2 linked regions of the Oryctolagus cuniculus genome follow. The protein of the gene in region 1 purifies or fractionates together with the protein of each later gene. This does not show direct contact. Links are inferred from orthologs where the notes say so. Each region holds a gene or a part of one and is shown on either strand. Other genes may lie near its edges.

Region 1 (4,221 bases):
TTACCAGAAGCATTGTTTCTCTCCCAAACATCCGCTATGGCAGTCATACACAGTCACATACACACACAGACCCCCGCAGTGGGTGCAATGAGCTGGGGTCAGCTACAAGTTCAAAATCAACATGATGCAGGATACAAATACATATTTAAAAAAAAAAAAAGGCTGCGGGTTTATTTCCAGATTGGCACTTGTGAAGGTACAATGGCCACCACTGACGGCCCTGGGGTCCCGGAAGTTAACACGGGTTGGGGGTGGGGGGAGTGTGGCAGGTCTCCCACCTCCACCCGCTAAGTGCACTTGAGACAGGACCCTGGTGGTGGTGGTGGTGTGGGGGGTGCTTCAGCCCAGGGCCCTGGATGAGAGCCTGGGGGGGGGCTCCAGCTGTTCCTCCTGGGGGTGGGGGCAGGCCCAGCGGGCAGGTCGCATAGGTCAAGGTCAGAGCAAGACCAGCAGGAGCAAGACCAGGAGCAGCACCCCAAGAAGCACCAGGATGGCACACCACTGCTGGCGATCTAGAATGGGAAAGGGGTGGAGTCACAGCGGGGTGGGTGGGGTGGAGGCGGAGCCACCTGTTACCCGCCCCCTTCCAGACGGGCACGCGTGACTCACCGCTCGTCATGTGGGACACCTTGGCCATCTTACGGAGGACGCCGTCCATGCGGGACTGGGTGTGGTCCATCTCGTGGCCAAAGGCATCCAGCATACTGTCAAGACCACAGTGGTGTTCCAGGGCCCCCAAGCACACCGGCCCCGGGGGTACCCACCCACTGCTGGAGTCCCCTGCCTCACCTGCCCTGCTCGTCCAGCTCCTCCCCGACGCGGCCGGACATGTGTTTTAGGACCCGGATGCTCCCGGACACCATGTCCAGCTGTTGGTCCTGTTGGTCCATGATCAGCTGCGGGGAGGGGTGGGGGCGAGGAGGAAGGGTGCCAGCTGTTTGCTGTCGGCAGGGACCGCCCCCACCCCTACCCTGGGGGGGTCCCCTGGCCACCAGCACACACCTGCTGCGTGGCCTGCTGCTCCTCAATGTATCGAGAAGTGGCCGAGACCACGCTGGCGTCCAGCAGGTCGCTGGGTGACTTCTGGGCAGCTGGTTTGCCCGCCAACATCTGCAGAGACACGCGGGTCACAAGTTAGGGGAGGGCCGGCCACCTCAGGGCAGGTCTGCACTGTGGGGCTGGGGGGCGGCATCTGGGGTGGGACAGCCAGAAGTCCTCACACCTGCCACCTACAACACTAGCAAAGGGGACCCCAAGGCAGCCTTGTCACCGACCCTCAATTTTTTCATCTGAAAAGGGGGAGACCTATAACCTTCCTGATCCTGGAATGAGGATTTAATGAATGGAGCCATGGAAAAGGCTTGGAACAGAGACACACAGAGAGAGATCTATCCACAGGTTCACTCCCCAAATGTCTCCCTGCCCCCTACATTCAGGGCCAGGCCGGGCTGAAGCCAGGAGCCAGGAACTCAATCTGAGTCTCCCACGTGGGTGGGTGGGTGGAGAGATCCAAAGCCTTGAGCCATCCCCTGCTGGCTCCCAGGGCGCACATTAGGAGCGAGCTGGCCTCCTAAGATGTGCATTAGCAGGAAGGTGGAGCCGGAAACGGACCCCAGGTTCTGCAACAGAGGAACCCGTGTGTGCATATGTGTGTGTGTGTGTGTGTAACTTTGATTTCCATTTTTTCCCGCGAACATAATAAGCACGATTGCATTGTTTAGGGAACAATAACAGGGGGAAAAGCAACGCCCAGGGATTCAGATGGGCATAGAGTAAGGACGCCGTACCTCTCTGTTTTTCCTCTCCATGAAGGCTATGGCGGCCGGGCTCACGATATGGTCCTTCATTTCCTGGGAGGGGGACGAGGACGGTGGTATTAGGGAGGAAAGACACCCTGACTTCTGCACGCTCCCCACCCCACCCCCCACAACCGGGCCCTCTGCGCACCTGCACCGCCTCCCGCATCCGCTCCACAAATTCCTTTCTCTCCTGCAGATCCCCAGCGGGCAGCTTGAACTTGCCGGGGTTGGCTTCCACGATTCGTGGGCTGGGAGTCAAGGGTCAAGGCCAGGGCTAGAGACGAACCCCCTCCACCCCCAGGGGGATCCGGCCTCTCAGTGCCCACCCCCCACCCCCGACCCGGGCAGTGCCAGCGCGTTCGTAGCTCTCCCGGAGGATATCGATGGTCTCTTCCAGGTCCTCGAGGTCCCATTCGATGCTGCGCAGGCCATTTCGCAGCTCATTGGCCGTCCAGTCCAGCTCCTCGCGGCCGCCCGTGCCGCCTTCCTGGAGGAGTTCGCACCAGCGCTGGTGCAGCCCGCGGGCCGTGTTCACCGCCTTCTGCACCTCGCTGCGGGCGGGGGCACAGCAGCAGCGCGGCTGGGGGCAGGCGGACCCAATCGCGTCGCCCCCGAACGAACCTGAGGCTCCAGAGACCCCCACCCCCACCCCCAGACCCTCCCGGAGACCCCAGCCCCGACGGCCGGCGCGCGCACCGATCGCCCTCCCCGGCCCCGTCGCTGTCACTCACCCTCGCACTACAAAGAATGGATCTTCGAGAGACATGGCCGCCCCCCTCCCCCAGGAGGCCGCAGCCCCTCCGGGCTGGGGCTCGCGAGCCACTTGGTTGCCTCGCAGCCCAGGAGGAAGCGCCGCCACCCCCGCCCCCGGTTCGCCACCATCGAGAGCGGGACCTCCAGAGGAGAGAGAGGTCCGAAAGGAGGAAACTTCCGTTCCCGCTGCCGCCATCTTGGGTGTGGGCAAAGGCCACACTTCCGGTCCGCATGTCCCGCCTTCTCAGTCACAGTGCCGGGCCGTTGAATGGGCGGGAGGGGTTCGCAGTCTAAGTGAATTGTTTGCTTTTGAGGCAGTGTAAATAATAATAGTCGGATTCCAGCTGAGAAAGGGTGGGGGGTCAGTGGGTTCCATCCCCGGAGCCCGCCCCGGGGCGTCCGTCCCAGCCCAGGGTCCCCAGCAGCAGGTGTGGGAAGGGCTGCGGGCATTTTAGCGGCGCTCTTCCTGCAGGGCGTGGGTGGGTGGGGGGAGAACCCCCGAGGTCGTATTGGGGCGGAGCGACCGCGGGAGGAGACCCCTGGGGGGCGGGTGTGGTGTCACCTGGGCGCGCGAGCCTGAGGGGGACCCCTGAGGAGGCACCCCGGTGAAGGTCCCCGGGAAATCGGAGGTGGGGGGCCGGGTCTCCCCTCTCGGGAGGGTGTGCGGGATGCCTCCGGGGGTCGCCCGTGGTGTGGGGCAGAGTCGCCGCTGTGTGCGGCCTGCAGACGGGACTTCTGGACTGTAGGGCAGGGGCGGGATCGGTTAAGGATGAGGTGATTTGGGGGGTCCTTTCAGGGTCGCCGCCGTCGGGGGGTTCCGTAGTGGGAGCCCGCGCGGGCGGGGTGCTTGCCCGGAGGGGCGTCGCTCCTTCCTGGCCCCCACGAGGGAAGGAAACGCCGCCTTCCTCTTCCCCCGCCCCACACGCCCGGCCCCGACGGACTCCGAGTCCGGAAGCCCCAGGCTCCAGCCGGCCGCGCGGGGGCGGGGCGGCAGCCGCGGAGGGGGCGTGTCCGGGCCGAGGCCCCGCCCCCAGAAGCCCCAGGCTCCAGCCGGCCGCGGCAGTCCGCGCGCACGGGGGTGGGGCGGGGGCGGAGGAGGGGGCGTGCCCAGAGCCGAGGCTCCGCCCCCGGAAGCCCGCTCCCGCCCGCCGTGGTGCTCCCAGCCCCATGTCCTTATATGGGCAGCCGGAAGTGGCTGGCGCGTTCGCCCTACGTCACTTCTTCCAAATTTAGCTGTGGAAGTCAGCGGGGCCCCAGTGGCGGGAAGGCTGCGTAAGCCGGGGGAGGGGGGTGGAGGGCGCCTCTTAAAGGGCCCGCACCACGAGTGAATGCAACCATTTGAACAATGTTCTTTTTTTTTTCTATTTTTTTTTTAAGCTACGGGAATTGAGTCTTCTCGTGGCGGAGGGTGGGGCCGATGTTTTCTCCGCGTGGCTCAGTTTCCAGCTCCGCCCCCCCGGGGCGCAGAGGCAGAGCAGGGCCCCCTCTCCTCCGCCGCCGACGGGGGGCGGCAGCCACGTGTTCGTCGCCGGGGCCCGTGCCCCGTTTGCGGCCGGGGCCCAGCCCACCTGGGGGGTGTCGCATCGCAGCGGTGAGCCTGTGGGCGATGGCTGGGCTGCGTTCCGGAGTCTGCGGACGACCACCCACACCCGCCCCCTCCGCCCGGTGG
Region 2 (3,500 bases), on another chromosome or scaffold:
ACAGGAAGTCAGCCCCTCCCACCTGCCCCATCCGCTGTTCCCGGGTCTCTCCAGGGTGAGCCGGGGTTAGAGAAGGTGACGTTCCGAGGGCCACTCACCGACTCCGTGTAGCTGTCCACGTTCTGCTCCTCGTGGGCGTCCAACAACTTCTGCAGGCGCAGGGCACAGGGGTCAGGCCTTGCTTGCCCGTCTGGGGCCCTCACGCCACGGGGGAAGGGCAGGCTGTGCTCCCACCCCACCCTACCCTGTCTCGGGGAGTGTGTGTGTGACGGAGAGAGGGAGGGAGGGAGAGGAGGAACCCAGGCTTCCGGCCCTGACTGTAAGGAGAACCCAGACAGAGGGAGGCGAACCCTCGGAAGACTGTCGGACAGCCGGAGCCCGCGCCCCCCGAGGCGGGGGCAGGGCAGCGAGGGCCTGGCACTCACTTTCATCAGCTTGCACTCCCGGGAATCAGAGAAGGCTGGGAACAGCTCCTCATACTTCTGGACAGCGAGCTGGGCGGGTGAGGGTTGGGGACAGGGAGAGGGCAGTTAACAGAGGGGCCTGGCAGCCCTGAGTCAGCGCCCTGCCCCTCCCCTGCGCGGGGCCCCCTGGCTCTGTGCCCAGCGGTGCCTCCGGGAGCCGAGCCTGGAGCCAGCCTGGCTGTGGAGCGGGCTGCAGGGGAGGTGGGCGGTGGGGGCAGGTGTCCAGTGCCCAGCCTGGCCTGGCGGGGGAGGGGAGCAAACAAGGCAAGCCTGGCCCCTCACACCCTTGACCCCTGCGTGAACCCTGGGAGGGCCAGAGGGCAGTGACCGTTCAGCGCACAGGGCGGGGGGATGTGAACCTGGCCCAACAAAGCCATGGGGAGGGCCCGGGGGGCCGGTCAGGGAGGGCTTCCTGTGCACAACAGGCTGGCCCGCGGGGGGCGGCAAGGAGCCAGAGCGCCCCCACCAAGGCGGGCGGCCAGCCGCGAGCGAGCTGGGGGCCTGGGCTCACCTTGGCGTTGAGCATGTCGATGCAGAAGTGGCACAGGGCCGCCTTGAAGAAGTAGTCCTTGGCGCTGTACTTGAGGAGGGGGCTGTCCATGGCGGTGGTCCCCACCTGTAGCCAGAGCCAGCACTGTGACCTCAGGCCCCTGGGGACAAGCCCTGCTAATCTGGGACCCGTGGGCAGGGAGACAAGGGCCTGGGTGAGCACCTGGAACCGAAGTGACCAGGACCAGGACCTGATGGTGGCCGGGGTGGGGGCTGAAGCCAGGTGACCCTGGGCCTCGGGGCGCCTGAGACCATGGGGAGAAGGCTGGCGCGTTGGCGGGCAGGGGGCGGCAGCCACGGGAACAGGAGGCAGCGCCCGCCCCTCTCTCCCCCCGGGGCCAGCTGCTTGCCTCCCTCATGGCCGTGGCCCAGCCCTCCTGGCACAGCCGTGGGAGCCGCGTGACACTCCCTGCCTCCCACCACGGAGGAGGGCCCCAGGGCCGCCCAGGCCTCCCATCCTCCCCAGGAAGCCACGTGCGAATGGGCGGGAAGGGGACACTGCACCGCAAGGGCTGGGCTGTGGGTGCACACGTTAGCCTGGCCGTGCACCAGGGAGGCCAAGGGGGTGACAGAGCGGGGAGTGGGTGAAAGGAGAGGGGGGCCCTGGGCAGGGGTCCCCACCTGTTCATAGATGTCGATGGCTTTCTGATACTGCTCCAGCTGCGCGGCGTAGCCGGCCACCTTCAGCAGACACTTGTTGGCTGAGCTGCGGGAGGGGCGGGGTGAGGGGCGGCAGGTGGGCCGCCGAGGGGCGGGGCAGGCGGGGGGCCGGGTACCTGTTAGACTCCTCGCCTTTGTAGTAGTCCGCGGACTGCTCGTAGTGGGCAATGGCCTGGGGAGACACGAGAGGGAGGGGGGCAGGGAGGCCCCTTTCCTGGGGCTCAGATATCAGAGAAGCCCAACCCCCGGCAGGGGGGTGAGAGGCTCCGCTCTCATCTTCTCAATGGGGGGGGGGGGGTGAGAGGACCCGGCCCCGCCCCCCACCTTCTCAATGTCCGCGGGGTGGGGGTTGGAGGCCCTGGTCCTGGCCCCCGGCCCCGCTCACCATCTCAATGTGGGGGGGGGTGAGAGGCCCCAGCCCCGCCCCCCACCTTCTCAATGTCCGCGGGGTGGGGGTTAGAGGCCCTGGTCCCGACCCCCGGCCCCCGCTCACCTTCTCAATGTCCACCAGCTCTGTCTCATAGATCTCGGCGATGGAGATGTGGTGCTTGGCTGCGATGGTGAACCGGCCCTGGGGTGACACAGAAGAGGTCACTGTGGCCATCGACATTCGGCCGTGGCTCTTCAGGGTCCTCCTGTCCAGGCCTTGGGACGCCCTGGGTTCCCGGGGGCTGAGCACTCTCCGACCGGCCTCAGCCTGGTGCGCAGTAATCACAGGGATTCCCACAGCCCCAGCCCACCCTCTGCACAGTGGGCGAGGGGAGGCCAAGAGGCAGGAGCGGGCAGCGCCCAGGCCGTGCAGGTCATCCATCACTGGCTCCTGGGCTGCATCGCAGGCGCGGGGGTGGGGAGGTGGGGGCTGAGCTCCCTTGAGGCTCTGCTGACCCTTGGGCCAGCCTCACTGCTGCGAGGGGCCGGCTAGGCGAGGCAGGCCAGGGGAGAGTGGGACTGTCGTGCTCCTGTCCCAGCCAGCCTGAACCAGTTGAGGGGACCACTCTCAGCTCAGGGAGCCCGCAGGTTCCCACATCCCCTTCCGCACCTGCTTGGCACAGAAGGCAGGGCCCTGGGGGAGGGAGGGGCAGCCGGGACCCTCACCATGTCCGTGTAGATCTCGATGGCTCTCATCAGACAGTTGATGGCCTCTGTGGAGAGAACAGGGAGGTGGGAGACATGAGAGTGAAGTCCTCGTAGCAGCCTGCGGAGGGGAGGCCGGGCCTGCCCGTGGATCCCGGGCACCCAGAGGGGTGGCTGGACTGACTCGCTGGGCAGTCTTGCAGCAGGGCCCCTCTCCCACGGTGCCATGTCCGGAGGACGGCCAGCTGCCCGTGGGTGCTTTGAAGCAGGCCTGCCTTGGTTCTCAGGGGCGTGGCAGGGCCAAGGGCAGCCGGGCCTGGTGCAGTGCGCTTAGCGGCTGCGGGCTGTGCACACTGACGCCTTGTGTATGCCCTTGCCAGCTTCCTGCCCCACATCCTGGTGAGGGGGCGGGCAGGCGGACACAGCTCTCGGTCCCCCGATCTGGCCTGGGTACCTGCAGGTGTCACCAGAAACCCAAGCACACCAGCACAGCACCAGAGGAGGAACTGGCTACCTCTGCTGTGCCATCTCTTGCAAGACTTCAAATTTGGGAAAGGTTTTTTTTTTTTTGTTTTTTTTTTGACAGGTTATTTGGAGGAGAGAAGCTGAGTGGGAGGCGTCTTCCAGCAGACGCGAGCTCTCGGGTGGGCATTTTTAAGAACATCACTTTAACGCATCTCAGGAAACGGCTGCTGGCAGGCAGGGGGGCAGCAGGGCCCGGGCAGACCACGGCAGCGGGGTGCTACCAGGAAG

Evidence for each region. Proteins that work in one complex are often made in the same cells at the same time.
Region 2: the proteins of STX10 (region 1) and NAPA purify together in Homo sapiens (affinity purification with mass spectrometry; 3 studies listed by BioGRID and IntAct, with this or other methods). This does not show direct contact. The link is inferred for Oryctolagus cuniculus from reciprocal best matches to the Homo sapiens genes STX10 and NAPA.

The regions. Positions count from the first base shown.
Region 1 is NC_091447.1:62,546,681-62,550,901, forward strand, and holds STX10 (syntaxin-10), read right to left. Parts: upstream 2,801-4,221; 5' UTR 2,786-2,800; coding exon 2,531-2,785; intron 2,380-2,530; coding exon 2,181-2,379; intron 2,043-2,180; coding exon 1,948-2,042; intron 1,851-1,947; coding exon 1,788-1,850; intron 1,111-1,787; coding exon 1,003-1,110; intron 897-1,002; coding exon 790-896; intron 705-789; coding exon 610-704; intron 520-609; exon of another isoform or gene 513-519; coding exon 436-512; 3' UTR 141-435; downstream 1-140. UniProt on the Homo sapiens protein: SNARE involved in vesicular transport from the late endosomes to the trans-Golgi network.
Region 2 is NC_091449.1:10,142,322-10,145,821, reverse strand, and holds part of NAPA (alpha-soluble NSF attachment protein), read right to left. Parts: intron 2,816-3,500; coding exon 2,769-2,815; intron 2,245-2,768; coding exon 2,167-2,244; intron 1,846-2,166; coding exon 1,790-1,845; intron 1,720-1,789; coding exon 1,635-1,719; intron 1,081-1,634; coding exon 976-1,080; intron 495-975; coding exon 426-494; intron 150-425; coding exon 99-149; intron 1-98. UniProt on the Homo sapiens protein: Required for vesicular transport between the endoplasmic reticulum and the Golgi apparatus. Together with GNA12 promotes CDH5 localization to plasma membrane.